Oreochromis niloticus: one gene and its partner. The protein of the gene in region 2 purifies or fractionates together with the protein of the main gene of each other region. This does not show direct contact. Links are inferred from orthologs where the notes say so. Each region holds a gene or a part of one and is shown on either strand. Other genes may lie near its edges. The genes, in order: protein bicaudal D homolog 2 and ranbp2.

Region 1 (15,713 bases), on a different chromosome or scaffold from region 2:
CTTGCCCAATTTATGTACATAATGGCTGATTTACATTTAAAGTATGTGTCGTACCTTGTAGCAAACATGGCCCGGAGAGAGGAGAACGTAGCTGCGTCCTCTTTCAGAGCCTTGAGCTCATTACGGAGCTTCATCATAGTCTCAGTCACCATAGTCTTCTCACTGTCATACTTACTCTTGAGGTTGGCCAGAGCAACCTCAGCTGTCTGAAGGGAACAACATAAAATGATTAATGTTGCAAAGTTCTGCAATTTTTTAATTCTGTGGTTTTTGCATCGCTATTCTATTCTGTGTGCGCATTAATAAACATCGTTCCCCTGACACATACACAAACCATCCTCTCACCTGTTTGTTAGCCTTGAGAACAGCTCTGAGAGTGGCAATCTGCTCCCTTTTGGTACTAAGCAGGGATTTCAGTTTGAGAATCTCCTCCATGCACGCTTCTTTGTCTTTGTCAGCCACTGTGCTCAGCTCCAGGTTGGCAAGTCTCTGACGTGACAGCTCTGTGGTGCGGTCCACCGCTTGCTGCAGGTGGCGGATCTGGTCCCTGATAATAGCAACAAGGTTATAGATGTTCATGGGTTCCGGCCGGTGCTCGTGTGCTGCAGTAACTGCTGCGCTGCTGGAGTCGGACTTTCCAGATTCAGTCTCACTGATTAACCCGTTAGTGAGAAGTACTGACTGGTGATCCTTTGCTTCTTGCCCCTTTCTTACAATGGCCTTGCCTTCCTTGTAATAGTCGAGCATGACGCGGTTAGGGGTTTCATTGTTGCACATGCACACGTGGTTGTAGAGGTTGGCCAGCTCTTCACTGAAGGCTACGAGCTCATCCTGCGCCACATTAAGGCTGCCAAGTGATTCTCCTGCAGCTTCGTTGGCCAGACAGAGCTCCCTCTCCAGACGTGACAACGCTGCTTTATCTGCTTGGCTAATTTTCTCCAAGGACGACAGCTTTGCCCTCAAGTCCTGGACATCGCTTTCCAGCCGCGCTCGCTCATCTTCATATTGGGTTCGACACTCCTCGTATTGCGCCCTTAGTGTTTTCAGCTCTTGTCTCAGTTCTCCAGCTTCAGACACTGCCACGGTGTATTTACACTGCAGAATCTCAGGCCCGTTAATGTCCAGTTCATAGTAGTCTCCATCGTCATGGCTGTCCCTGTCTTTCTCACTGTCAAGGGCAGACTGCCGCTCCTTACTGGCCTGAAGTTTCCTCATTGCACTTAGATTTTCAGTCAACCTGTTGACCGTTTGCTTTTGCTCGGACACAGTCCCATAGGCCTGTTCCAGCTGCTTCTGGCTCTCCTGCAGAGAGTTGATCAGGGCAACTTTTTCCCTCTCAACCTACAGAAACACAGATATAAAGAGTTCATTAGTCAGCTAGGCCACGTTATATATATAAAAAAGAGAAAGAATAAAACAGGAACGGCCTTTTTGGCCAGGTGACAGAGTGCAATTAAAGTTTCTTAACAACCTTTCAGGAACTTTTGAGTGACTCAGTTAATGGTGTACCCAATGATAGCTATCTCAGTGTGACCTGCCAATCCTGATGATTACTAGTCATTTAGTATCACTACATTACAGATTTAGTTCAGCTCCTTAGTTTGTCATTTACTTTTCTAGTAGATTTGTATAAACCCCACACAGTTTGTGGTGTTCTTATCTAGTAACTGTAGTTTGGCGTGCTGTTTTATTTTGTATGAATGATATTTTGTATACAAACTGAGTTACTGCACACATGGGTGACATCTGTCTATGCTGGTTTAGCCCAGTTGCCCTTTATACGCTCTAGATCCACAGAATACACAGCGACAAATAAAGTTAGGGATGCATTAGACTGATAGCATTTCCTGTTTTCTCAAAACTCTTGTGATAACATCTTAAATTCTTTTGGCCACGATAATCATCTAGTGAAAATAGCATGGCAGCCTTTCTACGACATCTACAGTAGAACTTAAGCTTTTTACTGAATGAGAAATCATGGCATCAGGTATGCTGCAGTCAGAAAACGATAGCTCTTAAGCCAAGTGCATCTGATGGATCTCATACCTGCACCAGCTGTTGTTTCAGTTTCTGTATCTCTGATATGTTGAGCTCACTCAGCAGGTCGTCCACCAAGCTAGGGACTGGTTTGAAGCCCTCTCCTCTCTTGTTCACTGCAGTTCTATTGTCTTCATCACTTTCGCTCAATTTAACCAAGCCGTTCTCAAACCCTCTTATTAGATCATCATTGTCCGGTTCATTGATGGCTGAAGGGTCCTCGTGGAGTTTGGCATTATCAATGGAAATACTGAAAGAGCTACTGTACACGGAGCCGCCAATGGTCATATAGTGGGAGAGCTCTTTGCGCAGCGAGGCCTTCTGCTCACGCTCTGTCTTGATGGTCTCTAAAGCTTCCGTCAGCTGCCGCTCGGCAATTTCCCTCAGACGCATTGCTTCCTCCAGCTGGCTGTGCAGACACTGGGTGTCTTCCTCCAGGCGGCGGATCTCATGCTTTAGACCTTCAAATTCCACCTGTAGAGACAGCAAAAATATAAATAACGCAGCTAATACTTTTACACAAGTAAGCAGCATCTGTTATAATTTGTGAAACAGGCATAAGTGCATCATGGTTGGCCAAAATATTACACGCAGACCCATTTTTTGAATGTAAAATTTGGTGTGTGCTCATATTTTTAAATTGTAAGGAAATGACATAATGACTGTGTAGCGATATTAGAACCAAAATAATAATATGGCTAGTCTGACTCATAAAAACATGAACAACACAGCTATTTCTGAATGATTTCCACCCACTACAAAACTTGAGTTTTATGGCCAGTCTCACCTGGTTCTGTTTCAACACAGACACTTGTTTCTGAAGTGAGATGTTCTCCTCCTCCAACTCGCTGTAGTCCTGCAGCAGTCGAGCCTCCCGAACCTTGTACTCTCTGATGTCATCCCGCAGCTGACTGCGCTGCAGCTCTGCCAGCTCTGAATTCTGCACACAAGAACGGGGACAACTGAATGAACTTTAATTTAAACCTATGTTCACCATGAGCAAATGCAGTGTAAATCACAAACTACACGCTTGCAATAGTTCAGCAAATGAGTTAAAATAAAGGCAAGAGTGCTTCACATGCCACAAGTCTTTGGCAGCCATGTGCAATGACGGAAGGAGGACATGGTCCACTTACCAATTCATTCTACAGAGAGCCCCGGTGGAGGACATCCTTTGTGTCACTCACTGTGGACCATTACATCATCTTTCCTGCTGGGCTCAGTGCAACCGTGCAAACTGGCCCTCCCCCATGATAAGAAGCAGCTCTCTCACAACCAACACTGGCAACTTTTCGTAGTCTACAAGTCAACTTCAGTTAGCATTACAAGCTTTCATTGATTTCCCAAATGTGCTGCAAATAGCAGATCTCCGATTATGACACATAAAAGACGCAGATTCAACCCTTGGCTTACTATATACTATGATAAGAAAATGCTCAACAGGAGTTAAAGTGAGCATTTGAGTATAAATCGTGATAAGAAATTCATATTGCAGCACTCTCAATACCTACCTCTCTCATTTCCAGGGCAATGGATGACAGGCGGTCATTTTCAGCTTGTGCACTGGCGAGGGAAGCTTTGGCCTGCCGGAGCTCATTCTGTAACTCCAGGACCTTCTGCTGGTAGAGAGCCTCCTTACTGGCAGACTCCAGTATCAATGACTCTTCCCTGCTCTCCCCATCTGCTGCCACCTTTCTGTGGGTTGAGTAAGCATGTCCAAAGGCCTAAAGACAGACACAAAAAGCAATAGAACAAACATGTTTGATTAACGATTCATTACAAACCTGCTTTAAGACACATGCACACAACCACGAGCATGGCCAAAATAACTAGTTAGAGACTTCAGTAAATAAAGATCTTCACAATTTGATAACTATTTCAGAAAATATCACAAATGTGTGTGTATGGGGTACTGGACAGTTCTTTCTAGTAACAATGACCTAAGTAAAATTCTCCATCTCAAGAGAGGAAATGAAACCACAGATAAGGAAATATACACGATAAGTATCGGTTCTTACTCATCACTCTAAATAAAATTGTAGTTAAATTGGGGATGCATGGTTACATGTTACATTCACTGTGTTTATTTCTTTGGGTTTTTTTGTTACAGAAGAGTTTTGCTGCAAACACAGATTACATCTGAAACTTATTCAAACAACAATTTTGGCCAAACTGATTTTTCTAATGATAAAATGTTTCCTAACATGAATTTGTTTCTCTATTTAACGATGATGATGACAGAGCCTTTATGGATCCCAAATGAAATGTAGACATTCATTAGCACAAAAAACATCAAACATGAAATACCGATAAATACTGAAACTAGCAGAGACAACAATTATACTGTAACAGAATACGAGATGGTTTGTGAGAAACTACAATAGTGAAGTGACACTCTTACAGCAGTCATGCTCTACTAGAGGATACAGAACAGTACAATCTGCATAATCACAAAGATAGACTAAAAAAAGTGGATGTGACGACTTTCATTGTTTTTGATAATTAAATTACAAGGCCATAAACAACAAAACTAACTGCTTTCAAGTGTATTTGTAAATGCTTGAAGCCTAGTAATACATAAAACCATAACTAATAAAAATAGAGCACTGCAGCATATCTGCCATAAATAAATGATAGAATATTATGTTAAAATATAGAATCTTTTTAAAAAAAAGTATCCAGTATAAAATCAAATACTCTAGCTTCATACATGACCACCACTTGGTAAAACAGTTCAGTCACTTGAGGATTACAAAGTACTCAAATGTAAATTTCAAAATCTGGCAGAAATTTTAATTTTATTGACATTTTGACAGGTCTGTGTTTTTCTGCAATTAAAAAACACTGTTCAAATAATCATCAAAGACAAATCTGTACAGATATTGCTTTGATATTATAAAATAAATATTTATCTACTTTAAAACAGATTGGATAAATGGCAAGCAATATTCCCAAAGCTGCAGCATGTGTTTTACTTTCAATGTTTAACTAGCTACTAGGAACAGTCTTTGGAATCTTTTGCAAAATGTCACTTGAATAGTTTTACTAAGCAGGTGCAATGTGAACTAATTTTCAGAATAGCAGTAAACTGATGAATAATTTGATGCCATATCTGCACAATTACCTACTAAACAGCCAAACACACATTAAGTCAACAGTTACGTAACAGCAAATGGAACCCACTGTAGAGTTAGATGTCTTTTTCCGGCCAATTCTCAGTCAGACAAACAGATCTGTGTAACTAGGATCATAGTCATGGTCAGTCATGATGATGTGAATCGATAGGAGGCTGATAGAGGACGAGGATGGACGATTCCTTTACCTACCTCACTACTCAGCGATGTACTGTAGTAAGGGGAAACTGTCACAGTCATGAGATACTAAGTAAATGACCACAACAATTAGTCACTTCGTGATGCAACTATAATCTATAAACCAGAAAATTCCCGGTAGTGGCAAAAATCTCACATCCTCCTTTTTAATTTACATTTCATGATATTAGACTAGATTTCCTGTATAAAGGTATTAATAAGACTGCGACCCATTTAAGCCCAGCCTACACACAATGACCTATCACCATTTCACGTGAACACAAACACTGAAGGACACTAATAATAGAAATTGGACATTTAGACATACAGCTGACAGACAGCAATGTGGAAGTGCTTTAGGATGCATTTCCTCTACTGACTGACAGACTGGATGTGACAACAGTCTTAAGACTGAACTGAAGGGAAGTTCCCAACCACCCCCAACACACACACTTCTTTATTCTCTAATGAAATACAGACAGATTTTCCCACATGTTAGGATCTTAGTGGCTGGTGGTGCGTCTTATGAGTTGCTGTGAAAAAGTGTTGCCAAGTTATCTTTCTTTAGCTTAATGTTTACTAGATTCATAGATTCGCCCACCTGTCATATTTAGCTGTAGAGGTTATTCCTCTACAGTGAAACTGAAGGGCCTAGGGGTTGGCTGACATTGTGGGTTAAAAATGTCTCAACAGACAAGCTATTAGGAGATGAAAAGAAACACAGATATTCAGGGTTATTAACTTCTTTTTTTAGTGATTTCACCATTGGAAAAACTTCTATGTTATTTTTAAACAGGTTAACAGCAAATTGGCCAAACAGGCTTAAATGTGACATAAGCCACTGCAGCTACAGTCTGATTTCAAGGCCTCAGCCTTTGGAGCAAGTAAAGGCAAGTAATCCAAACTAATGACAGTTTTCATCCTTTAAGGCGAGGCAACATTAGGTAACACTGCAATATTTCTGCTTGGAGGTGGTTATGCATATTTCAAACTTCATATAATATTTGAGGAGGCAGGAGGGATATAAATAGACATGGGGCTGGGGCTCAGAGGAAGCAAACCCCACTACCGACTGCTTCTAGTTTGATCCCCGATGTCACTCTAAATTCCCACCGTGCTACTATTATAACATGCACTAAGTTGCTCTCCTCGCCTTCACATACTGACTGATGCCAGGACTTATATCTGGCTGCGTGGCGGTGACCTCGGGTTACCTCCTTCAGCTGATCCAATTCCTGTCGGACCGTCTCGTAGTCCGTCTCCAACTCATCAAATCGCTGCTTTAGCTGCTGTTTCTCCTCCAGCACCGCCAGCCCATACTCAGCCGCCTGGATCTTCTCCTGGGTCGTTTCGCGAAGCTCCCGGGTCAGACGCTCCACTTCGGCTTGGAGCCACTGCGGCCCGGCTTCTGTCACCAGTACCGCCTCAGGATATTCCTGCTCCTCCATAGACATCTTGGCGAGCCGCCGACTCCCAACTGTAACGGGACCCAGCCCTGACTAGCGGGAGCAGCGGAGCAAACCACCAAGACCGCAAATCACTGCCTTCTTTGTTTGGGGCGCATTGTTGGGCTTAAACTGTGTTTAGTTTCCCGGGCTTTCTCTCACTGCGGACCTCGACGGAGCTTAAACTGGACAACAGTTTGCTCATTCTCGATATTTTTCTGTCCCTTCTTGAAGCTGACAGAGGAAACTTCAGTTGAGATCATCGATTAGAAAAAAAAAGCTCCCCCCTACACGGCATTCAAATCAGCGTGACTACGAAGGGAAATGTAGTTTTAAGTGAAGCGCGCCACCTCAAGTACTCCTTGCTTCTGAAGCCGCGTTGACTACAAGTACCAGAATGCATTGCGTCTGTCGAGACAGGACCCCACAGTTTACTGAAACGCCATCTAGAGAATCAATAGTGAAATTGCAACTATAATTACATTGGGAATTAGGATCTTTATTAGAGTCTATGGGTATTTTCGTTATACTCACTTGTCGAATGAACAATAGATTAGTTAATTATAGAAATATGATCTTCAGTCACTTTATTTATTAGGTACACCTGTTCAACTGCTCATAAACGCAAATATCAAATCAGCCAATCACATGGCAGCAACTTAATGCATCCAGGCATGTAGACATGGCCAATATTATCTGCTGAAGTTCAAACTGAGCATCAGAATGTGGAAGAAAGGTGAGTTAGGTGAATTTCATTTAAGTTTTATGATTGATGGTGTCAGGCGGGCTGGTTTGAGTACTTTACTGCTGCTCTACTGAGATTATCGCACACAACCATCTTTAGGATTTACAGAGAAAATATCCAGTGAGCATGGTTGATGTCTGCTTCAAGCTCATAGGAAGGCAACAGTAACTCAAATGGCAATTCACCACAACTAAGGTGTGCAGAACAGCATCTCTAAATGCACAACTCGTGCAACGTTGAAGAAGATGAGCAAAAGACCACACCGGGTTCCACACAAGTGGCAGCTAAGAACAGGAAACTGGACAATAGACGACTGGAAAAAACATTGCATGATCTGATAAGTCTTAATTTCTGCTGAAACATTCTGATAGTAGGGACAGAATTTGGTATAAGATGAAAGCATGGATCCATCTTGCCTTATATCAGCTGCTCATGCTAATGCTGATGGCGCAATGGTGTGTGAGATTTTTTCTTTGGAACACTTTGGGGTACTTAGTACTAACTGAGCATCATTTAAATGCCACAGTCTATCTGAATTCTGCTGTTTGCCATGTCCATCTGTTTACACTGTGGCTATCTTCTATTGACTGTGTCCAGCAGGATAACCATCTTCAAATGATCTCAAACTGGTTTCTTGTACATGTTCACTCTACTCAAATGACCTCCACAGTCATCAGATATCAATCCAATAGAGCACCCTTGGGATGTGATACAATGGGAGATTTGGGTCATGGATGTACAGCTGACAAAAAGGGGGCTAATGAATATATATATATATATATATATTTTAAAAAATCACAAAAAAATATTTAATATTTTGTTTATTTTCCTTCTTTATTAGAAAATGGAAAAAGTTTATTATAAAAGTAGCGGGCAATTAAGTACTTTTAGAAGTCTTGTTAAATGGTCAGAAGGTCTCTATCCCTGACTTAAATCTGCTCATGAACTACGTGGACTGACACCAGGTTGTGGTTATGTGATCAAAGAGTGCAAAGACTGTCAGCTTTTTTGTGTATTTATGTGTAAATTACAGTAAAAAAAAAAAAAAATGCTTTAAAAAAAAATTTATTTGAATGCCAAACAACTGAGGACATGATTCAAATCTAGTAGTTCACAAGGTGACAGAGCACTGTCTTATTGTTTTTAACCTTTGACACACGTGAATGTGAAAGAAAAACTGTGTCAGCGGGACTTCCGTCCATGGTAGTGACAGTCCTTGGCAGTAGTTTGAGGAAGTTGTCTACTGAATGCTGATTGTTTTGTATTGCTACACCTGCCTGGGGACTTCAGGAGCAGCTGAGCTGAAATGGTGTGTACACCTGTGTTTCTGCCTTTCGCTGAGGTTTTCTATCTACGATTGTAGCTCTTGCTCTGTGTAGGCACATTGTTATATTTATAACAGTGTGTCTAAACAGTGTGTACATTGCTGCTTTCACTTTCTCTCACATGCTGTTTTTTCTTATTTCCTATTATCAGCAGCATGTTGTATGTTTATCCATCAACCTATTGATCATTTCTTTTTCAGGAGTACAAAAGGAAGTTAATTTTTGACTTTTATCAACACTGTATGTATATTTATTATGTTTATTTATTATCAACAGATTTGGCAGAGATGTTCCTTTCTGTAGAATATTCATTTGAAACCTATTATTCTGAACATTTCAGATAAATATTACCATTTCTATTCAATCTGCTTTGGACTGGGATGTGGAATGGCTTTCTATAGGCCATTTCGAAGTAAGTTACACTTTTTAAGCCGCTGTTCAAAGTAATTAACCTCTGGCTGAGCCAAGACTGAATAACGACCCATTTATTATTTTTGCTTTCACTTTCAGCACTCGCAGTTCCAGTATGTCTTGGTATATTTTGCACCATAGCGTTTGAGATTCTGGGCATTTTTACTGGTAAGTAGAATTTTTTATAAAATTCACACCAAAATTTAAAGCGAAATGTTTTTCCAAAAAGAAAAATGTAATTTTACATAATGCACTGCAGGTTCTGCTTGTCACAATGTCTGTCTTGACTTTTCTACCCTGCTCAGACCTGCCTGCCCATACTAAAAGATGTAAAGGTGCTCCCTACGACAACAGAGGTACTTCCCGCTGCTATATCAAAGACAGAATCCTAATCTTACATCAGAGTCCATATTTAGATTGGTTTTGTATAAAAGCTAAACATTACCATCAAACTCTCCTTAGATACCTACTGGGGATTTGCTGTTGCACTATTTGTTGCTTTCTTGCACCTCCACTCATATCATGGTAAGACCACAATACTTTAAATATAAGACTTTATATAATACATGGAATATTCAGATACTCAGGGGATATACTGTTTTAACTGTGGTTAAATAATGTGTTTTTCAGTTTACACACTATCGTATGGATGTGGAATCATAACGTTTGCTCTTAGAGGAGCAAAACGGAAATACAGCTCTCTGAGGTTTGTCCTCTTCAAAAACTATTTTTGCACATTCTTCCTGTAGAATACAGACTGTTTAAAGAGCAGTGCTTATCAAAGTTTAGAGTGTAGAAGGCCAGTGGGAAATATGGAGAGGAAAGATGTTCAGTCAGAATGCTTGATCTACAAACAAACACGGGTTTTCTTATATTATGGCTCTGATCTTCATTTAACTAAATATTAAACTCATTTTTTTAATCGATTATGACTCATATGAATTGTGTGGTGGTGGATGTCATTATTTTTTTTATTCGCTCCTGAAGGGGGCATGCTAGTACAAGTTTTAGGAGCACTTCTGCAGAATTCATTCAATGTTTTTAAATGTTTTTGAAAGTTGGGATTTGTATGACCCAAAAAAATGCATTTGTTTGTTTTGAACAGGGAGCAGAGAGAGAGAACGAGAACCTGGTGGTGGTGATTTTAAAATTACAGTGGGGGGATTTACAGGAAGCTATTTAAGTGGTATTTAAGATGATGAGATGGTGACGTTTTATGTCACTGTAGAAACAAACACTGTAGTTTCCTCTTTTTTTCCACTATAAATGTCTCTGCAAACTTGTGAATGTATATTATACCAGTACACTGAAGTTCATCTGACTTTCATAAGATGGGACTGTCTCATACCAATGCATGCTAACACTGATGGCTGTTCATAAATTTCATAGATACTTTCCCATTATAGTTGCAGATTGCTGTTTATGAGCAGTGCTTAAATAACACACGTCAACACAAAGGCGAACAGAAACTATTGTAAATGGTAAAAGTCAAATGCAGAGGGCTTTATTACATGAAAGTATGGTACATACAAAATTTCAAGTAACAAAGAAAGTGTTTGTTCTTAGGCTGACACGCTGGACGTAACTAGCTATTCAACATCACAGCCCACTGTATCCTCTATCAGCACTGGTGGCTCTTCTTTGCTCCACGTTGTGTAAAGATTACACTGCTGTTGAGGTCCAAAAGCAGTGCTAGAGCACAAATGAACACTGAGGTGTGTTGGTTTACGGTAACTGAAATTTCAATAACAAAAGACATTGCTGAATAGAAACAAATTTAAAAACTACAAAAATGAAAGTGAAATCATCTGAATGTTTAAATTCTGGCTCTGCATGACTGCTCTTTATGACGTGTACACATTTCTTTCACTTTGTTTCCTAAAGTCTTTCACAACAACAACTCATTTAGTTTCTGTCTGACACACACACTCTATGATAAACACCGACTTGAAAACTATGCCCCACTCAGTATTACAAGCTATAGCAAAACAATATAAAACCACTGCCAGTTGAATGAATCCAGGAGCATTAAGAACACATTAGAGGATCACACAGCAGACATGTAATACCGGACTTTTTTTTTTTTTTAATAGTGAGCATCCACCAATGAAAATGTCAGTTATGTCCACATTTCTATCATTGAAATGGGTCTATAACAACGCTGGTATTATCAGTGAGGATATGCATGTTGCATGAATTTGTGTGTCTCAGTTTTGGTGATAAATACACAAAAAGGAAGGCAAACATGGAACTCTAATGTGTACAGCACAAAATCACATTACTTTAGTAGCCTACACACTTAGGGGTATTCACTGTGAACGAAATCAAAGAGTTGGGTGCCATGTGAATCGAAAACATATTTGACTACTTAGCCTTATCTTCAGGGGTGTAATTGGATAGGTAGGTGGTTACTTGGCATTGGTAGAGCTGCTGACCATCTTACGAATGGCCTGGGAAATGGCATCACGGTCGATACCGTAGATCTTCAGCAGCTCGTGGGGTTTTCCACTGCGAGGAATGTGGGACACAGCGAGACGGTGCAGACTGAAGCCAGACTCATTGACCATTGCTGAAGACACTGCTTCGCCAAGACCACCTGTGAAAAAACAACAAAGGAATATATAAAAGACAAATGTGAAAGACAAATTCACTTAAAGGCATTTCTAACTGTCTGGTCAATGTGATGTCATAAAGATGGGACATTTCTAACATGGTCATCTCGGGCTGTGTGTGTGAAGTCCTGAATTCAGAAGTAAATAAATGAAATGAAATAAAGGTAGCTATATAGAAAAATTATGCCCTTGAATGATATTGTTTTACATTATTTCTTGTAGATGTAATAATGTAGCAAGTACTATATTTGTAATTTTGAAGTACTGCCCAATTGTGTCCGAGAATAAAAAGATGGAGCGGGAAGTTCAAGCATATTTGGTTCCCATTACAGTATCCAAAAACACTGAGTCTCTGTGCACACTTTACATAAAGGGATAACAAAAAAATCATTACAGCTCAGTGTAAAAATGATCCCCTTGAACGCTGCACAACAGCTGTTCCAGATGTACAATGAATGAGATGCACAACATCAGACAAATTACAGTTGTTAAATTTCCTTTGTCCAGCCTCGTCCATGCCATCACCCATCCCCTTTCTCTTAGCAGGCACAGGCCATAGCTGTCTGTGCTATCTAGGTCACAGTCAGCCCCATGGGCACCCGCTTAGTTAAGGAAATCTGACAGCACTCTGCCTCCATGGCTGTCGCACTTACAAAATGCACCACAGTACCAATACCTTGCCTGCAATGAAGGCACACGACAGGCGGTCTCAGCCCTCAGCCAATAAGCAATTGCCAGCACAACCCATCTACATCAGTGAACCAATGCAAACATGCCACCACAACACTCCCAAGGATGTGCACCAATGACGAGGCGCAGCCGCATTATGCTACTGAGCTTGTTGCTGCTTGGTTGGCGAGAGGCATGCAATATGCAAAATCCGACCAACTTTTATATAAACATACCTTCGTAGTAGTGGTCCTCGACAGTGAGGATCCTTCCCCTGGTAGCACGTGTGTGGTCGATGATCGTTTTGACATCCAAAGGTTTGATTGTGAAGGGGTCAATCACTCGGACAGAGATCCTCTCTGAAAGATGAATTTTAGTAGAAAAATACAATGCATAAAGATACATCATACGGTTAACCGAACCTCAGCGATTGAATATAGGAGAATATAGCAGTTCTGCCAACCTGATAAAGAAAGCATAGTTTGTGCAAGAAACACAAAAACTAAGATCAGGCTAACATTTACATGACAAACTGAACACAGAACCATTCAAAACCTATTCTAAGGAACAGTGATGGTCTAACAGACACATTCTAAAAAAAAAAAAAAGAGATATAAATGGTCAAATCTGACCAGCTAGCAGCGGATTACAATGTCTTTTCTTGTAATTGTTCTGGATGTGTCGGCACATATCTTGCGGACCTTTCTTTAGATGTTCAGCTGCAGCAAGGGCCTCATGCAAAGTCACTCCAGCTGCCACCACAGTGACTTGGTCGTCCTTGCTTTGGTACACCACCTGTCAAAGAGAAGGAAATGTACCCTCTGTAAGCTGTAGTATTTCGAGTGATTATTTTGAAACAATAATCTGCCATTTCTGCCTCATGTGTTTATCTCTCACTGTCTTAAGAGAAGCACAAATAGCGTCTCACCTTTGCCTGTCCAACATGGAAGTCCTCATTGCTGTTGTAGACGATAGCACAGTCTTGGCGGCTGGTTCGGATGTAACAAACACCCTAAATGAAAAGGAAAATGAAAAGATCATTACCGCAATAGATGATCATGTAGGGGAGCTGTAACACTGCCATTTTTGTTTAAGTACCTTCGTGGTTGCAGCCAGTTCCACAGCCTTCTCTGTAGACACGCCATCACAGGGATAGAAAATGGTTGCTGTGGGAAGGGCCCTGAACATAGCTACGTCCTCCAGACCCATCAGGGCAGGGCCCTCCTCTCCTGCAACATACACATTTATAGTTGATTTTATGCATTCAACACTGAGGAAATCTTCAAAAGTTATCCACTTGTTAGGTGAGCTGAAGCATGCAGGTGCACAAGCATAAAGTTCGGCTGCATGCAGTGTACCTGCACTAACTGAGGGACACTTGGTTCCCTGTTGACAGCTTCCAGGGCAGACACGAAAGGAGAAAAGGGGGAAGTTTGAGTAATAGCTGTAAGGTCAAGGAGGGTAAATGGCAAGGAAAACACAGCATTAGAGGGAAAAAATAGAAAGGATTGAAACAACTCACAAACTGACACAGACTTCTTGTATACACTTATGCATTTATTAAGGAGGCTGTGGATATATTCTGAGGAACTGGGTGCTCTGAAGTGGTTGGATTCGGTGTAAGAGGGAATGAGGGTGAATTTGTGAAGGTGTGAGTTTGGTGACATGTATGAGAAGGGTTTTCATGTGAATTGTTCATTGGCAGCAGTCTACTGACCGGTGGACAGACCGCAGTGAGAGCCGCACAGATTGATGTTGCTTTCTGAGATCGCTGCCATACGAAGCTGGTCATAGGCGCGAGTGAAAAAGGATGCAAGAGTGCTGGCAAATACCATGTTCCTCTCTCGGGCTGCACATCCCATCGCAACGCTGACCTGGGAAATGAAATCATTATTTCTTAGTACCTTTGCAAGCGAGGAAACCTTCATGTGCCAAACTAAAGAGACACAGGTTGCAAGAACGTCATCACACAAAGATCACCCAGAGGGTAAAATATCTGTAGTGCAAACCATATTTGAAGGCCTCTTTGAACTAAAGACCACAGTAAGCAGAAAGTTTTGCACAAATCTCTGAAGCTTATTTTACCATATGGATAGGATCAGTGTCATACCTCCTCTTACAAATAATTTCCTTTGTCCTGTCTCCAAACCTCTCCACAGTCCCACATCTTCTCTTCTTTGTCAAAAGTAACATCTGACGTTACATAAATGAATTCAACAAAACTCCATTTATTTTTGTTTATAACTAATTAAGTTTTTTTAGTGTTATACACTGAAAAAAAGAACATGTTGGATTTACTTAATTCAAATGTGGACATTGGTTGAACACAATTGTTTTGCTTTGGCAGAAAATTAAACAACTGAGTTAAATCAACACAACTTATTCAGTATTTTAATCCTTCACAATTTTGTCAATTTATTCCAAAACTATTCAATAACTTTTACCCCAATACTACTTGGTCACTTAAATACTACTTGGTCACTTAAATACTACATGTTGTCTTCATATTACATAATGTTCAACAAAGTCTAGAGTCTGGTAAAGATAAGAATTTAATGGATTTACAACAACTTCCACTCTATCTTTCTTCAGGTTGCAGGGGAATAATCCAGAGTCAGGGTACACCCTGGACAGGTCGCCAGTCTTTCACATAGAGATGAACAATCATTTGCACTCACATTCACAGGTAATTTAGAATCACCAGTTAACCTAACTATAATACCTGCATGACTTTTAACTGTGGAAGGAAACCAGAGTACCAAGAGAAAACCAACTGCAAACTAGCCAGATTGTGGAGTTGAACCCAGGACCGTCTTGCTGTGAGGCAACAGTGCTAACCACCACACCACAAAGCTGTCCTTCCAGACTTAACAAAAGTAGGAAAGCTATGATTACAAGTCTTGAAACAGAATTTTCTGGACATGTTTGTCCTTGACATGTCATCTCAACAAGAACAAATTAAGTTGTTGAATTTCAAACAGATTTAATTACGTTCACCATAGAAACATGAAAAAATTATTTTGCTCAAATTACAGGTTAGACTTTTGTAAATGCAATAACCAACCAATTTCCTTTTTTTCAGTGTAGGTGAGTCTTGCACAATTTTTTAATTTCATCTCGATAAGCGACAGTTTATTGCACCCTTGAACTTTTGACTT
Region 2 (15,713 bases):
CTGACAGTGGCTACAGAACACCACACCATATAGAAACACCTTGATGGAGCAAACGAGAGAAAAAAAAAACTTTAATACTGAAAGAAACACAAGAACAAAACTGTGTTTATAAATTAAAAGCAGTGCTCTTAGCCTGTCGAAGTTTCATTTTACTTCATTGTGCCTCCTAAGACTTTTACACAGAATGCTGTAAGTAAAGTGCCAACATAAGTTCATGAAAATGAACCAAAACGCAAAAGAAAAACTCCAGAAGTCCAAGATCCAGATTTTCTCAGAAGGAAAACCTTTTATCTATTCATACATTTTTCTGTGTTTTAGCCAGGAGGAAGTTTACAGAGTATGTTATGACCAGTACATGCAGAGCAGCAGCAGCACCACCTTACCTCTAGGTCCAGCAGGCAGATTGACTCTGGTGCATTGGTATCTAGTTTAGAGGTTTCCAGCGTAAGCCGAGGAAAGAGCTGCTGTAGCCATTCCCGCAGCGGTGGTCTTTGGTCCAGAAGGTTCCACTGGAGTCCCAACCAGCTCAGATGTTGCAACTGACCACTGTGGAGCAAGATGGAGCCTAAAGAGAAAGCAGCAAAATTATTATACTACTCACTACTAAATGCTACCAAATTCATTAACTTTAGGGGAAAACAAACCAACAGGACTGATCTTTAGTATTCAGGTAGCTAACTGGTTCGTACCAGTGTCCCATTTGGCCAGCTGAGAGAGCTCTGGAGCCATAGCAGTAAGGGAATGAATGTCATCATTGGCGATAAAAGACAATCCAGCAGAGGCCTGCGGACCCCGCAGGAGGTCAAACAGGGAGTCCTGACCACTCCGGTTCCCAATAGCCTCCACAACCTACCAAGAGAAAAAAATAAATACATAAATAAAACACTGACACACTAAGATAAGAACACCTCAGTGATAATCATGTGAAATCACATATACATTATCCATATAATACCATGCACAGAAAAAAAACAAGGTCAGACCTCTCTGATCAAGGCAGATGAATCTGTGCTCAGATTGAACAACATGTGGCCGGCCTGGCTCTGTCGGTCATTTGCCAGCAGCTCCAGAAGCTGTGGGGCTGTCTGATCTCTTTTGGTCACTTTTGGCTTTGGTCTGGGGACCTGGAGGAAAAACAAACCACGACTAGGTCCTGAACAAGTTCATGGCAATGTTAAGTCTTTCACCCTTTGCAAGTCAGGCAAAAAAAAAAGTAAGAGGCACTGCACAGTTGCACGATGGTACAACTACTGGAATAAATTTAAAGTGACATAAGGTAAAGTGACGTAACGATGATATAAGTAATTAATGAATCTGGTCATTTGGTGTGTCACTACCTGATATGCCAGTAGGTAGCAAAGTGCAGCCAGGTCACGAACAGCCCTCCAGGTTTGTTGACGATCCTGAACCAGCTTAAGCAGCAGCGTGCCTGCATGCAGGTAGAGGTGCCCTCTCATCTCCACAAACACCTCAAGGAGCTCGTCCGCACTGCGGCCTGCAATGCTGCTCAGTGCCTGCATAGCTTGGTCAAACCTACAAGCACAATGCAGATGAACAGTTTACAAAAAAGTTGGAATGCTAAAAACACAACTAACAACAACAACGTTAGCCTTTGTTGAAACAGCTGCAACAATTTGCCTTTTTGACATGTAAAGAGTCAAAGCATGAGACTTATTTGCTTCTCTTTCCTGTAGATCGAGGTGCAAACAACGCCTAACACAGCTACAAAACAACCTGTTACACCTAAACAGACTGAACTTTTACTAAAGACCAGAACTAAATGTGATTCAATTACATTTTATGAGGTTGGCAAGGTTTTCTGATATCAGTAATGTTTGAGAAAAAAAAAATCTGAATGTTAACTTTTCCATATAACTTTGTTTTTTTGTTTTTTTTAAACTTTAATACAATGTCACCCAGTACACGGGAGAAATTAGGTTTTGGTGAAAAAACAAAGCTTCTGATATTATTCCAGTTCTCTTAAATTCATGCGTACAAGTTTTACAATCCAGCACCAGACTTACTCTCTAAGTGCATCTAGACTTGGCTGCACGCTGCTTTCAGATAGTGTGATTCTCAGCAGGCTGCAGTGGGCCAACAACAGCTCTCTCTGAATACGTCGACTCATCTTCTCATTGTTCAAGATGCTGGGCTGAGCCAGGTACTCCTGAAACAAAGGTTATCCATTCTTTAGAAAGGTTTATGCACTTATAAGGGGAAGGGATAGCTCAGTAGGTAGAGTGGTGGCCCCATGATCGGAAGGTCGGGGGTTCGATTCCCCTGAACAGCTACCCTGAGGTACCCCTGAGCAAGGTAGTACCGTCCCTACTGCTCCCCGGGCGCCCAAAGGCTGACCACTGCTTCACTGAGTGAATGGGTTAAATGCAGAGAGGAATTTCCCCACGGGGATCAATAAAGTACACTTTCTTTCTTTCTTTCTTTATAAAGGTGGGAGGATAAGTATAATAAAGGACCAAAATAGAAGTACTTGAAGCATACTGGTCCCGCCTATTGAGGTAAACTTTAATTTAGCAGGACAGTAGTGCAAAGTCCATACTAACCTGCAGTGTGCGCACCACCTCAGTGTACCAGTCCAGACTGTTGCGCAGCATGGCTCTTTTCTCAGCAGCCAGGCAGTGTTTAACAGCCTCTTCCAGCCGGCCATCCTGACGGAACAGCTGAACCAACTTCACGTTCACGTGGGCGTCAGCCGGCCGCGCTGCCAGCTCGGTCTGAAGGAGGTCAAACAACCGGTTCCAACCCTGCTGACCCTGACGACTCAACAGGCGCTCCTAAAAGCAGCAGCACCGATGAACAGAAGACATTCAGTGTGGCATTCTTTCCACTTTTAATGAAGCTGTACCCTCTTCTTGGACTGTTTTTGTAAACCTAAATGACATTAAAACTCCCACTCATGAAAACTGGAAATTTTAATTTAGGAATAATTAGCAAAGTGATGGACAGAGCAGGCTGTGAACTAGACAACTGTTTATTAAACAACCCAAAATAGTGGGATTAAATGACTTCACAGCTGACAAAGACAATGTTTAGTGGACGTTACTGGAGCTAAAGAAGAAAGGAGGAGCTTTACCTTAAGGTTGAAAACCGCCGGGTTTCCTGGTAGCAACTTTGCAGCTTTCTCCACCCAAAACTCTGCCCTGCTGTCACACTCCTGCTTACTGACAAGCAGCTCTGCAACCTTCAGCACCAGGTCTTTCTGGGCTGGGTTCAAATCCACCGACCGCTGCAATAAAAGCGAAAAACATTGAGTCTGAAGCTGAACATATGCATCAAAAGCTCTGCCAGTTTTTTCTCTCTCCCTGCTTTACACTAAGGAATTAAAAACTCATCACCTCCTCTTCTTTGTTACATTGTGCTGATTATTAATTTCTTTATTACAGCAGCAACTGGAGCCGTTTACGTCCAAGAAACAGGTTGCACTACAGTCAGCCAACTGTGCATAAAAAACCCTGTGTTTTAACAGAGACCAGTGGGCCGTTTTCACCTCCCACAGGTGGAGAGAGCACAGCTTGAGTGCATTTAAAAAGATTGGAAGTGTACACCAATTATATAGCTGATAGTGTTTTGATGAGTCTCAGCACTGACTCTGAATCACTTTGTTTCAGCTCATTAACTGAGAACCAGCTTCATTACAGTACACATCAGTTTTAGTGTTCAGGTGCGAATGAATCAGTAAAAAAAACTCCCTCAAGGTGAGTTTAATGTTCTTAAAAGTTACTGCTACAAGAAGGGAGAGCAAATAAATCACAGTTTATTTTTCTCAATTTTCTGTCATCATTCATCTTCTAGATTTGATGCTATAGCAATAAAACCTAACAGTGCCTTTGGGAAGCTGATTATTGATTCCCGAATGTCAGAGAGAGCTTGGTGATTCATCTTTTAAAAAGTAAAACAACAAAGAGCATTTAGCATTCAGTTTGATAGACTACCTAGTGCATTAAAAAAAAAAAAAAAAGAATCACACACCAAAAGGCAGATAGAAATCACATCTAAAGCCTTGTTGTTTGCTGTGGGAAATGACCCATAGTAACAAAGAGGATACTTATTTTTAACTATTATTTTTCTATATTCATTCATCACAACTAAGCAAATTTATTCAAAGTGCATGTGGGTAATTTCCCTTTCGTGTCCAGGTAAATATACCAGTTTGGTTGGTCCATTTAAATTGGTGTGAGCATGAATCAGCAATTGCACAGACAGCACTTACAGAGCAGTTTTTAAACCCCCACACACATTATACACTTATGTACATAGACAATTGGAGGAATTTTAGGTCAATCATCTTTCTGATTTCTCAAACAAAAAGAAGCTGAATCTGAAAATCAAAGATTGCAACTGACAGCAAATACAGGGTTTGTGGAAGCTGTTCATCATTTTGTCCTTTAAACAATGTTTCCTCATTTCATACCTGAATCTTATGATTTCTTGAACCACATTCTGACTCACTTTTAAGGGAAAAATGCTTCCACTGAGATGTTCTTTTTACCTTGTAACATCCAACTGCTCTGTTGATGTCTCCCTCTCTCTCGTAGAGCTGTCCAAGGAACTTATGTGCTTTGGGATCCCTCTCCTGGACCTTGAGATAGTCTGACACATGCCTAGGAAAAGCATGAAAGACAGGAATTACAAACAATATAGCAACACACAAGCATTGGGTCAAACAATGGAGAGGCTCACATGCTTACCTTTTTGCAAGATCATATTCCTTTGCTTCAAAGTACAATTTAGCAAATAAAAACCCTTTGACTGGCTTCTGTGGAGAGAAAAAAAAAATATGTGGACCAGCATGAGGAAATGGATTCATCTTGTTATGATAGTGAGAAGATGCAATTACACATGTCCTGCAGAGTTATCTGGCTTAGTGGGATTTAAATACTTACCAGTACTCAGTACCTGCTTAGTAACTGTACCACAACCCAAAGGCCCATTTTTAGCCATAAAAAAAAAAAATCCTGCATATGGACCTGCCAATGCCTAGTTAAATCACAGCCGTCTATAATGGTTCAAGTAGATTGTTAACTGGGAATACATCAGAATAATGAAAGATATTTTTGTTCATTATCCAGTTTTGATCAAGTGATCAGCTCAAAAAAAACAACAACAACAACAAAAAAACCCCCAAAACATCTTTTATCCTGAGGAATTAACTAAATCGTAGTTTTGGGAAATTATTCCTCCCAGAGGCTAGTTAGTAACATATTAGCCATCCGGATTACAGCATTACCCATTGTCAGATTTACTGCTAGCTTCTCCTACCCACCACACTACAACTATTATCACTGACTTTTTCAGTGTCAGGTGAACAACGTAGAATAAGTTGATAGCAGGTAGTGCTCTTCTGGCTATTCCACAGACCCATTTAAAATACAAAGAGGGATCACGCTTTCCAAACCTTAGCGTCAAAACAGTTTACCTCCCCCTCTATGCACTATTGACTCTTTGGCTTCTTTAAAAAAAAAAAAAAAAAAAAAAAGAAGAAGAAGAAGAAGAAGAAAAAAAACAGCTGAAAACTCATCTATTTAGACAGGCATTTGGGTAATGCTCTTGTGCAATATGTTGTTTTTATTTGATATATTTTTAAATTCCCTGTAAAGCACTTTTTAAAACTAGATTCCTGTCTTAAAAAGTCCTATGTAAATAAATATTTCCTTACAAATCACACCAACATTTAATTTCTGTATGTTTGTTTAGGAATGATTTAACTGATGATAATACAGGTTTAAGCTCTGAACAGCATGACACCCAATCTTGTGATTTAATTCTTTAGGTAAATGTCTCCAGACTACACACATTACTGTACACAACAAAATGCACAAGGAGGCATTCCACAGGTATATGTGTAGAAGTGTGAATCTATTGTCAAACAAAACTACATTTTTGGCTCTACTGGTGCAACCCTACACATATAATTGGGCTAGACTGTTAATCTTACAATACCAAGGTTTCTCCTGACTCAAAACACACCTCTGGGAGGGTGACTGTGCATGCAAGTACAACTGCTCCACAAATAATTAAGACAGAGTCTGTGTTGCCTTACTTTTTCTATACATATTTCTGTACATTGTTACCTGTATATATACGAACCTCGTTTGCTTATGTATATAGGACCACTTTGTGTCTTCCTTTTATATTCCCCTTGGTCTAAGAGCTGTAACACCCAAATTTATCATCCGTGGAATATTAAAGGTTTATTCTATTCTAGAGGTCTGTGCATTTTTATTAATTACTTTTGATCACTAGCGACACAAAGTGTATTCTAAGCTTGAGTACATTAAACTACACACCACATCAATGAAAAACCACAATCCTGATGACTTTACTTTGATGTAAGACCAAAACATCGTTGGAATTACGCAAAAACAAAACCCTGACTAGGGTAAAGCAACTTGAGAGCATGGTTAGGACCGTTGACCACATAGCACCACATTTACTCAAGTAATTGACTGATCGACTATCATATTATGCTGCCATGTTGTAGATATGTATAAGCAATTAAACCAACATCTTCAGCTGCAACATTAAAAGGATATCTACAAAACAAATTTTCATGATCTCATAATAACACTAACATATATTTCTGCATCATTTGTCCTTTCAGTATACTTTCGAGCTAATCGCTATCAGTTAAGCATCTTTCAGACTGTTGAGCAATGCTACTTTTCACATAATACCTCTGGTACAGATAAGCCTGAATTCTGATGCATTCAAGTTTTTCTTACATTGTATTTATTTCTCATTAAATATTCTGATTTTCTGTGGGTGTAACTGTTTCCCCCCTGACATCCGATCCAAATAAATAATAATTAAAAAGAACAAAAGCAAATCAAGAAACCTTGGAACTCTGCCTGATTAACAGACAAGTCTGTTTGCAATTAAACTAAAACCACCAGTTTTTGAACAGAGTTAGGGTTGCTGCTCCTGATACGATCAAGCAACGAGCATTTTTAATTGTTGTCTGAACTGAAACCTAGCTTTTCCAGAGAAATGAAACTTGCACAACCTATCCAACTAGCTTTGTCTCGCTATCGTGGCTAACTAGCATAGCTGATTAGCTGGCGCTGTTCAAGGGATCCCATGCCGCGCATTTTCCCGAGTATAAAGGGGAGGACACGACGGGGCGTCATCACGCCGGCCGGTTAGCTACAGTCTTTAAGACTATCTGGGGGACGGGGGTTACACAGAGAACGACATATGAGTCAACCGAAATACCGTCATCGTAGTTAAAAAAGCAACGAGTGTTCATTGAACATGTGTACAGGTTGTACCTCATACCGGCTGATGTGACATGATGGCAGCAGCATGCTAACATTAGCCTCGGCGGGCTTAACTTACCTCTTTGAGTGAGGGAGAGGAACTCTGTACTGAGGAAACGTAACAGTCCACGTCAGCCTTACTTCGTCGCATAGCTTCCAAGGTCAGGGGCTTCTACAGCGGCTGAATGTGAGACATAGAAAACCAGAAATTCACTAAATATCTAAAACAAAACTGACGGTAACATCAGCTCGCCTGACGTTAACTCCCCATGATGATATTGCGCAGTCTCAATGCCGTCAAATGGCAGCTGTCACGTGACTTCTTAACCAATGAGAACAAGAATTCAGTTTAACGCAGACTGACGCATTTCAGTTTGAAGGGTTCTGTTACAAATACCTGAAAATCCTAATTTCTCCAACAATTAAGCCTTAATCCTTCATTTGATAAATATTTTGTTACATAAATTAAATATCTTTAAACCCTGTATATGTGTAACCAATAGTATTGACTTAAACAAATCATGCTATATCATGCCCAGTTTTATAGGCTGATATCTTTGCAAATTTTTCCATGTCTGTTTCTGTTGATAAGCTTCAGTCAAGGAGTTTTTTTAAAAAACATTTTTTAGTCAGCGGTTTATTCCAAAGTGTTCTCATCAAAACCTCTGCACACCTGAATGAGTAACAGTTGTCAGAGGGAAAGCTGTGCTATGCAATGCCCATTTGAACTTTATCAGCTACACAGACATTCATCATCTATTATGAACTGAGCATCAGAATGGAGAAATGATTTGGGTGATTTTGCATGTGACGTGGTTGTTGGTGCCAGATGGAGTCGACGAGTATGATTTCAGAAACTGATGATCTACTAGGATTTCTTTACACATAACCACATCTAGGATTTACTAACAATAGTCAGAAAAAGAAAAAGTATCCAGTGAGCGGCAGTTTTCTGGGTGAGAATGACTTTTTGATGCCAGAGGTCAGAGGAGACTGGTCAGACTGCTTTGAGCTGACAAGAAGGCAACAGTAAATCAAACAATCACCTGTTATAACCAAGGTTTGCAGAAGAGCATTTCTGAATCCACAACCTGCTGAACTTTGAAGCAGATGGGCTACAGTAGCAGAAAACCACACTGAGTGCCACTCCTAAGAAGAGGAAACTGAAGCTACAATTCACACAGGCTCAACAAAATTGTAGAACAGAAGACTGAAACTGTTGCCTGGTCTGTTGAGTTTTGATTTTTGCTACAACATTCAGATGGTAGAGTCAGAATTTGGTGTAAAATATATGAAAGCATGGATCTGTCAAGGAGAGAGATTACTGGTTTGATCCCAGGAGAAGACACAACTTGTTCAGCATGATTTAATTGTTTTAATTCTTCAATGTTCCATTGACATTAAAAAAGATTCTGATTCTTGTGGTGCTGTAATGTAATTATAGGCACACTTTGGGCCATTTAGTACCAACTCAGTATTGCTGAAATGCAGCAGTCTTGAGTATTGTTGCTAATCATGTCCGTGCACCTCTCTTCTGATGGTTACTTTCAGTAGCAAAACTCTCCTTGTCACAAAGCTCAAATAATCTCTTTGCTTGCTTTCTCGAACATGACAGTGAATTCACTGCACTCAAATGGCGTCCACAGTCACCAGATCTCAATCCAATAGAGCGCATTTGGGATGTGTTGGAACAGGAGAACAAATCAGCAGCATCTGCGTGATGCTATCATGTCAGTACTACTCAGCAGCTTGTAAAAGGGCCACCGCAGCAGTTAATTCTACATATTTGATTTGGTAGATTTTTTGTTTTCTCCTGTGATCAAACCAGTAATCTCTTATTTATTGAAAATAAATAAGCCATCTTTTCAACATGGACCAAAATCTCACAGAAATGTTTCCAGCACTTTATTGAATTCATCCCACAGAGAATTAGGGCAGTGCTGAAGGCAAAAGGAGGTAGAATATAAATGAAAATACTCCAGCTGGTGTACTCTGAAGATATGTATTAATAAAACTGATGTTCTTTTGTCTGTAAGTATGTATCATCTTGGATGTTGCCTTTCTTTAGTTGATACTGTGCACTGATTAATCTTCCTGTATTTTTTATCTTTAACTTTATTCCCAAAAGTTTTATATTCTGCATTGTATAAACTTACAGCATAATTCTAGTAATAAATATTTATTGTACAGGTTTATGTTTTGAACCGGTATTTTAATAGTCAAACATGTTGCAGTTGTATTTCTAATTGTTTTCTGTTAGCTGAATGTGAGTGAGAGTTAGCTAACATCTGGATATAGCCAACAATTTTGTCTTGAACTCTATTGATTTGTGCTCTTAATAACTTCTGAAGTTAGATGGATGCTGTTTCAGATTATGGTTGTCATATTGACTATCCTGCAGATGCTAATGGCTGTTTAGTGTTGCACACATGTGTATAATGTCCATTAGTAGTCCTCTGATGTTGGGATATTTTGAGTCACTTCATATGTGTGTGTATATGATAATGTGGAGCTGCTAATATACTTGATGAAGCTCAAAATCAAGCATGTTCCCATTTAACGTGGACCCGAATGCAACATATGTGAAATTTTGGAGTGTCATTAAACATTATGCAACACTTGTGAATCCTGAGCCTGCTGCTGGTTTCACGTTACACTTTGAGAATGGTAAGAAGCTGTAAACCAAATAAATCATTACACACACACCGGTAGCATTGACATATGTGTTTATTCCGATGAAGTGTCAGAATGACTTTAAATATAATAAGAAACAACTTCCCAAATTTCAAGTTAAGAACATGCACTTTGGTGTGCCAACATGAATAAATCTGCTCACAAACATTGCAATGATGATATCCAGTATCAGAGCAGTATCTGTTTGCACAGAGTCATCTCAGTCCATCAGAGTAGTAAAGTATCAAATAAAACCATGCACTGAACTATTTGTGGCTCGAGGTGCCGAAGTTCTGCCTCACAACAATCAGCCCAGCGGATAGTTTTACTTCTGTATGACATAGAGAAAGTTGTGCCATCTGCACGGAAATGCACAGCAGTAACATACACTTCATAATGATAAAATAGTGGAATGTGTTTATCTATAGAGCTTGTATTTTAAGCTAAGCTTTGTGATAAAATGGAGGTCATGTGAAGCATTCTGCAAGAATGAGACCAGTTTGGCTTTCTTTCCTAAGTGGGTCTGAGCCCCGAGGAAGTCGGTACACCTCCCTAAGAGGATCACTTTCCCTGGATTACAAACAACAGAGGAAACGTTCAAATGTTCAACATCAATCCCATATCCGGTCTCTGTACATGCCACAAGCCGTCATGTTGTAACACACACTGAGTTTGCAGTAACCATTCAATAAATCCTGTGGCTCAGATGCTTGTTATGATCAATATTTGTTGACAGCACATCGGGACGGGGGAGGGATTGTTTTATAGAACACTGACAGGTAACAGTTATTCACTCACATGTATTTAATAAATCTAAATTTCGCCCTCGGCACTTTGGCTGTATTAGATTAATTCAGATTGTAAACGCAAAAAAATGCTGAATAAATACCAATTTGCACAGAGATCATGCCACACAAAGATGCATAGCACATACAGTAACAAGGCAATCCAACACTGCAGGTGATGGTCGAGTCCGTTGTGTAATATTAAAATGTAGGTCCAAAAAACAAACAAAAAAAAGGCAGATAAAATACTTATTATGCATAATATTAATGGAAATAAACACTACTAATACATAAAATGATACAAGTTGGAAATATTTGAGGTTATTTACACATTTGGGACATTTTCTTTCTTTGGGCTTACTTGATTGTTATAGAAATGAAGCAGTAATATTTTTCAATAAAGGTTTTTTGGCATCACAAGACAAGGTGGCGGCAAAGCTTTTAAGTCATCATATTACCTCTGGCTTTCTATGTACTCTTAAAACTCATATGTCACTTTTTTAAATACAGGAAATTAGCAGGCATGTGTAAAACACACAGTGGAGCAATTTTGCAAAAATGGTACAAGGCACAAAGTTAAAGCTGTCTGACCGAAAATGTGACTGCGGAGCTGCCGGCTGCAGGCACATGAAATTGAAAGTGCAATGCTTTCTAGCTATAACCAACCTAAATGCAACATAGCAGTTGCAAAACACACAAATTCTTTATTTTAATTCTGGGCTTGTACATGGCCACCTCATGGTCTCATCTATCTTTCCCTCTCCAGCTGCTCCACTGTGTTTTTACTTCCTTGCAACAGTTTCAGACAGCTTTTTCAGTCTCTTCTTCAGCTCCAGAGGGAACTTCTCATAGCACTTCTTACACACCGGCTTCATGTCAAACTCCACAAACTTGTTCCTGTGGAAGAAAGAGAAACAGTTGTATTTCAGAAGACTGGCCAGTGATCAGTAGAGGATATTGTTTCCAGGTGAGAGGATTTTGTAACATATCATGATATGTGTAGCATCACTGTAATGATCTCATTCCTTCAGAAGCCCTTCTGACAAGTCTCAGACCTACTGAGACTCGAGATTACTTTTGAAATCTAATTTTTTGAATACATTTTTAATTCCATCATAAAAACTCTGATTCCTGCGAACATTGGACGTAGCAACGTCTGAATTTCGAATGTTATTTTTCAGACCTTTATTTCAAAACCCCAAATCCTGGACAAAGATGCACACCTTCCCATGCGTGTTTCTGGTAGGGTGCTGCAATTAATCATATTTTTATCTTTAAAGACAATACACAAGAAGAAGACAGCTGTCTTAACTTAAGACTTAAATTTGGATACTGATACCAGGGATTCTAAATATCACATTATCCTCTGCATTCAAAGTATCATGTCACATTTGACTTCTGACCTAATATTTACATTTCACATCTGCCTTTCTTTCAACTTGACCTCATCTTTTCTCACCCTTTATAACAAAAACTGACGCCCTACAAGGCTGAGACATGATCAAGATGAGAGAAACGCACATCCCTCTTTTAATAATTGCAGTCTCAACGTTAAATGAAGTGATTCTGATCATTGTTTTTCAAGCAGCCCTAATTTATGTCTGTTTTAGCACTGGGATTCATGAGCATTCATAATGCCTTTTGACGAATAACAATTCCCTGAATGAACAGAATCTTGCCTGTGTTTTCCTTGACAGAAATCACTGTGTGTGCTGACACAGAGTTACAAGAAAATATTTACAGAGATGTAGGAGGTCTTTGGGTGCCTTCTGATTGTGTTCACTTCTACTAACTTGGCCAGCTCCCTAACCAATTTCCTCCAGCTGCCCCTGAACAGCCTTCCCTCCCAAAGTAGATAATCGCTGTATGGAGCGGCGCACGTGTCATAACTGTTAGGACCTCGGAATTTCAACAGCTGATGCCAGAAAGCTGCCGGAAATGATTACGGCTTTGCGGCTTACACCAGACAGACTGGGAGACCCATGAAACAAAGCTTTCCCTTCAACTTGTGATTGATCTGATTTTCCTGTTTGCACAGCAGAGGTTACAAGAGTACCGGCTTAAATCCTTACTAGCATTTCCGGCTAGGAAAAGAACATTTTGCTGAAATGTTCCCGGTCTTACGTCACTCAGATACACTCAGTCATCTACAATTCTCTGCTTGTATTTTTGTTTCATGCCTTGAAAGCCAACTGAACTCAGTGTATCAGTGATCTAAGGGCATGGAAAGTAGGAAAAAACTGAAACAGATAGCAAGGAAGACGAAAACTGACCAAAGGAAAGATCAGCTGAAGTAAGGAGAGAGGAGAAAGAGAGGGATCACAGACACATGGGTATCAATTTCTTCTTCTTCTCTTTTGAGTCACGTTCTCGCTTGGCCAGCCGACGTTTCATGTCATCAGGGAGGCGCTCATAGCAGTGTTTGCACACCGGCTTCAGATCCACCTCCACAAACTTATCCCTGATAGAGCAGGGAGGAAGCAGAGATGGAAATGTGAAAGAGGAGGAAGACATGAGGAGGGGCAGAGAGAGAAGATGAAGGGAAAGGAATGAAGGAGAGGGAAGGGGAAAAGTGGGACAAGACAGGAGGACGATGAAAGGAAGGCGAGGTGAAGAAACAAGCCATCAGAGACATAGCAACAGAGAAAGGTAAGAAAAAACAGTTTGGTAGCAGCAGCAAACAGTCTCAGATGGAGGATAGTGAAAAGAAACGTGATAGACTAAACAGAGAAACTGTCAGACATATCACATGTGAAAGTCTACAGAGAATCTTCAAATATTCATAATTCAGTTTGAATTGTCTGCAAAACTTACTTCAGGGTGAGCTTGGTGTTGCAAGTAGAGCAGGCAAAACAGTTGACACACCACGCCTTGTTAAGAGCAGACACCACTGGGAAAAAAAAGCAGAAGGAGCAGCCACATGAGGCAGATTGTAGACTTATAGTTTAAATTAAACTAATGTTGGTGTGAAGTTCAGGCTACAAATAATTCTCAAGGCAAAACATGAGAAGAAAATCAAGTTAAATTCAATATAATAAGGAAGCAGTAAAAGTAAAAAAACAAAAAAACAAAAAACAATGCTGATGTAAACAGCCATTATACATTATATTTATTAAAATTAACTTCCTCACCATCGCCTTCAATAACACGATTGCAGTGGTAGCAAACATCCCCAAACAGCTGCATGTGACGAGGAGAGAGAAACAAAAGGTTAACAATGCACTGATACATCTTATCGGTTTTTATTGAGGCTCACATGACACACAGTACTGTGCTCAGAAGGCACAGAAACAAGCGCAGGCTACAAGGCATTTGGGGTGAAAAAGAAAAAAGATCCACTACAGCTTTCTAACACTAGGTGGAGTTGTTACATTGACAATCATCTTTGAGAGCCACTGAAGTGAACACTAATGTAACCTGTCTCATATACACGTATGAGAAAGACGAGCTTTAAGGCTCCTTTACGATGAAAAAAATGATCTCCTGATTAATTTTTGGAAAGCCTGCTTTCCTGATTGCTCCCCACCAAATCAGTGCCTATAATAGCAAACTCCTTACGATCATGGGAGTCTGCGCCAAGCTCAATAGTAGAAAAAACATCAGAAATTGAGAATCTGGACCCGTTTGAAACCTGAGCTTTTTGCTCGGCTCACTTCTACATGTGTTTATCTCATTATTGAGATTTTAGTCCTGTTTAATATAAGCACCCAACTCATATAAAAGAAAATTAAAGTCCACCAAAAAATGTAATCATTTTGATATAATATTATAGATCTATGATCATGATCATGCTAATTGCTTTGGGACAAGAGAAATATCTCTTTCAGTGTAACACATATCTACCTGTGCAAGTGGTTTTTTATATAGACTCACTGGACAAAAAACTAATATGTGTATATCTGGAACAGATCCATAATGCTTACATACACTTATGGTCACTTTATTAGGTACACCTTTGTTAGTACCTGGTTGGACCTCCTTTTGGAATCTTAACTGCCTTAATTCTTCATGGCACCAATTCAACACAGTGCTGTAATAATTCCTCAAAGATTTTGGTGCATATCGACATGATGGTATTACACAAATGCTGCAGATTTGTCAGCTGCACATCTATGATCTTCCACCATGTTCCAAAGGTGCTCTATTGGATTAAGATCTGGTGACTGAAGGCTATTTGAGCACAGTGAACTCGTCATGTTGAAGAAACCAGTTTGAGATGATCTAAACTTTGCGACATGGTCTGTTATCCTATTGGAAGCTGCCATCAGAAGATGGGTACACTGTGGTCACAAAGTGATGGGCATGGTCAGGAACAATACTGAAGTAGGTGTTTTAATGATGCTCAAATGACACCAGGAGCCTGAGCTGTTGGTACAGGCCAAGATGGGGCGATGCTTTCATGTCAGCTACACCAATTTGTTGATCAGGTGTACCCAATAAAGTGTCCAGTAAGCATATGTATATATGTATATATATATATATATATATATATATATATATATTTATACATTCACTGCTAATGTCAACTCTCTTACTGACACTGATAGAGTCACACATACCATAAACTAAGACAGAGAAATGGGAGTTTCACAACAGGCTAAACATACTAGCATGTTTCAATTTCTATTTTGGTGTTCCACATCAATATTTCGAGTACCAGTGTGTGTTACCTGGTTGTAGTGCGTTTCGCAGTAGGCCAGGCCCTTGCGTTCGTAGTGACGGTGTCCCAGGAAAGGTTTCTCACACTTAGCACACACAAAATGCTGCAAGCAAACCCAAGCCAGGCACACATGGTTAGCACAGCCATCAGTCAGTACAGTACCACACTCAGACTGTGTTAAAGGTAGCAGCACAGTCCGGCTTAGATATTATCAGAACATAAATAGATCAGTCGTTTCAAATGTTTTGTTACTGCGTCCATACAGAGAGTTGAGAAGTCAGAATAGTGACCTCTAGAGGATATTGGGAAAATACAACATTT

Evidence for each region.
Region 1: the proteins of ranbp2 (region 2) and protein bicaudal D homolog 2 purify together in Homo sapiens (affinity purification with western blotting; 3 studies listed by BioGRID and IntAct, with this or other methods). This does not show direct contact. The link is inferred for Oreochromis niloticus from reciprocal best matches to the Homo sapiens genes RANBP2 and BICD2.

The regions. Positions count from the first base shown.
Region 1 is NC_031970.2:20,555,667-20,571,379, forward strand, and holds the start of protein bicaudal D homolog 2, read right to left. Parts: upstream 7,061-15,713; 5' UTR 6,803-7,060; coding exon 6,563-6,802; intron 3,762-6,562; coding exon 3,549-3,761; intron 2,978-3,548; coding exon 2,825-2,977; intron 2,512-2,824; coding exon 2,047-2,511; intron 1,342-2,046; coding exon 346-1,341; intron 207-345; coding exon 55-206; intron 1-54. Other genes in the region: transketolase, read right to left, coding at 11,683-11,870, 12,792-12,914, 13,257-13,350, 13,484-13,567, 13,654-13,784, 14,273-14,429. UniProt on the Homo sapiens protein: Acts as an adapter protein linking the dynein motor complex to various cargos and converts dynein from a non-processive to a highly processive motor in the presence of dynactin.
Region 2 is NC_031987.2:11,380,253-11,395,965, forward strand, and holds the start of ranbp2 (E3 SUMO-protein ligase RanBP2), read right to left. Parts: upstream 7,577-15,713; 5' UTR 7,426-7,576; coding exon 7,354-7,425; intron 4,775-7,353; coding exon 4,707-4,774; intron 4,620-4,706; coding exon 4,508-4,619; intron 3,245-4,507; coding exon 3,092-3,244; intron 2,793-3,091; coding exon 2,562-2,792; intron 2,168-2,561; coding exon 2,025-2,167; intron 1,534-2,024; coding exon 1,338-1,533; intron 1,125-1,337; coding exon 984-1,124; intron 850-983; coding exon 690-849; intron 566-689; coding exon 384-565; intron 40-383; coding exon 1-39. Other genes in the region: lims2 (LIM and senescent cell antigen-like-containing domain protein 2), read right to left, coding at 13,052-13,193, 13,547-13,622, 13,864-13,912, 15,403-15,495. UniProt on the Homo sapiens protein: E3 SUMO-protein ligase which facilitates SUMO1 and SUMO2 conjugation by UBE2I. Involved in transport factor (Ran-GTP, karyopherin)-mediated protein import via the F-G repeat-containing domain which acts as a docking site for substrates.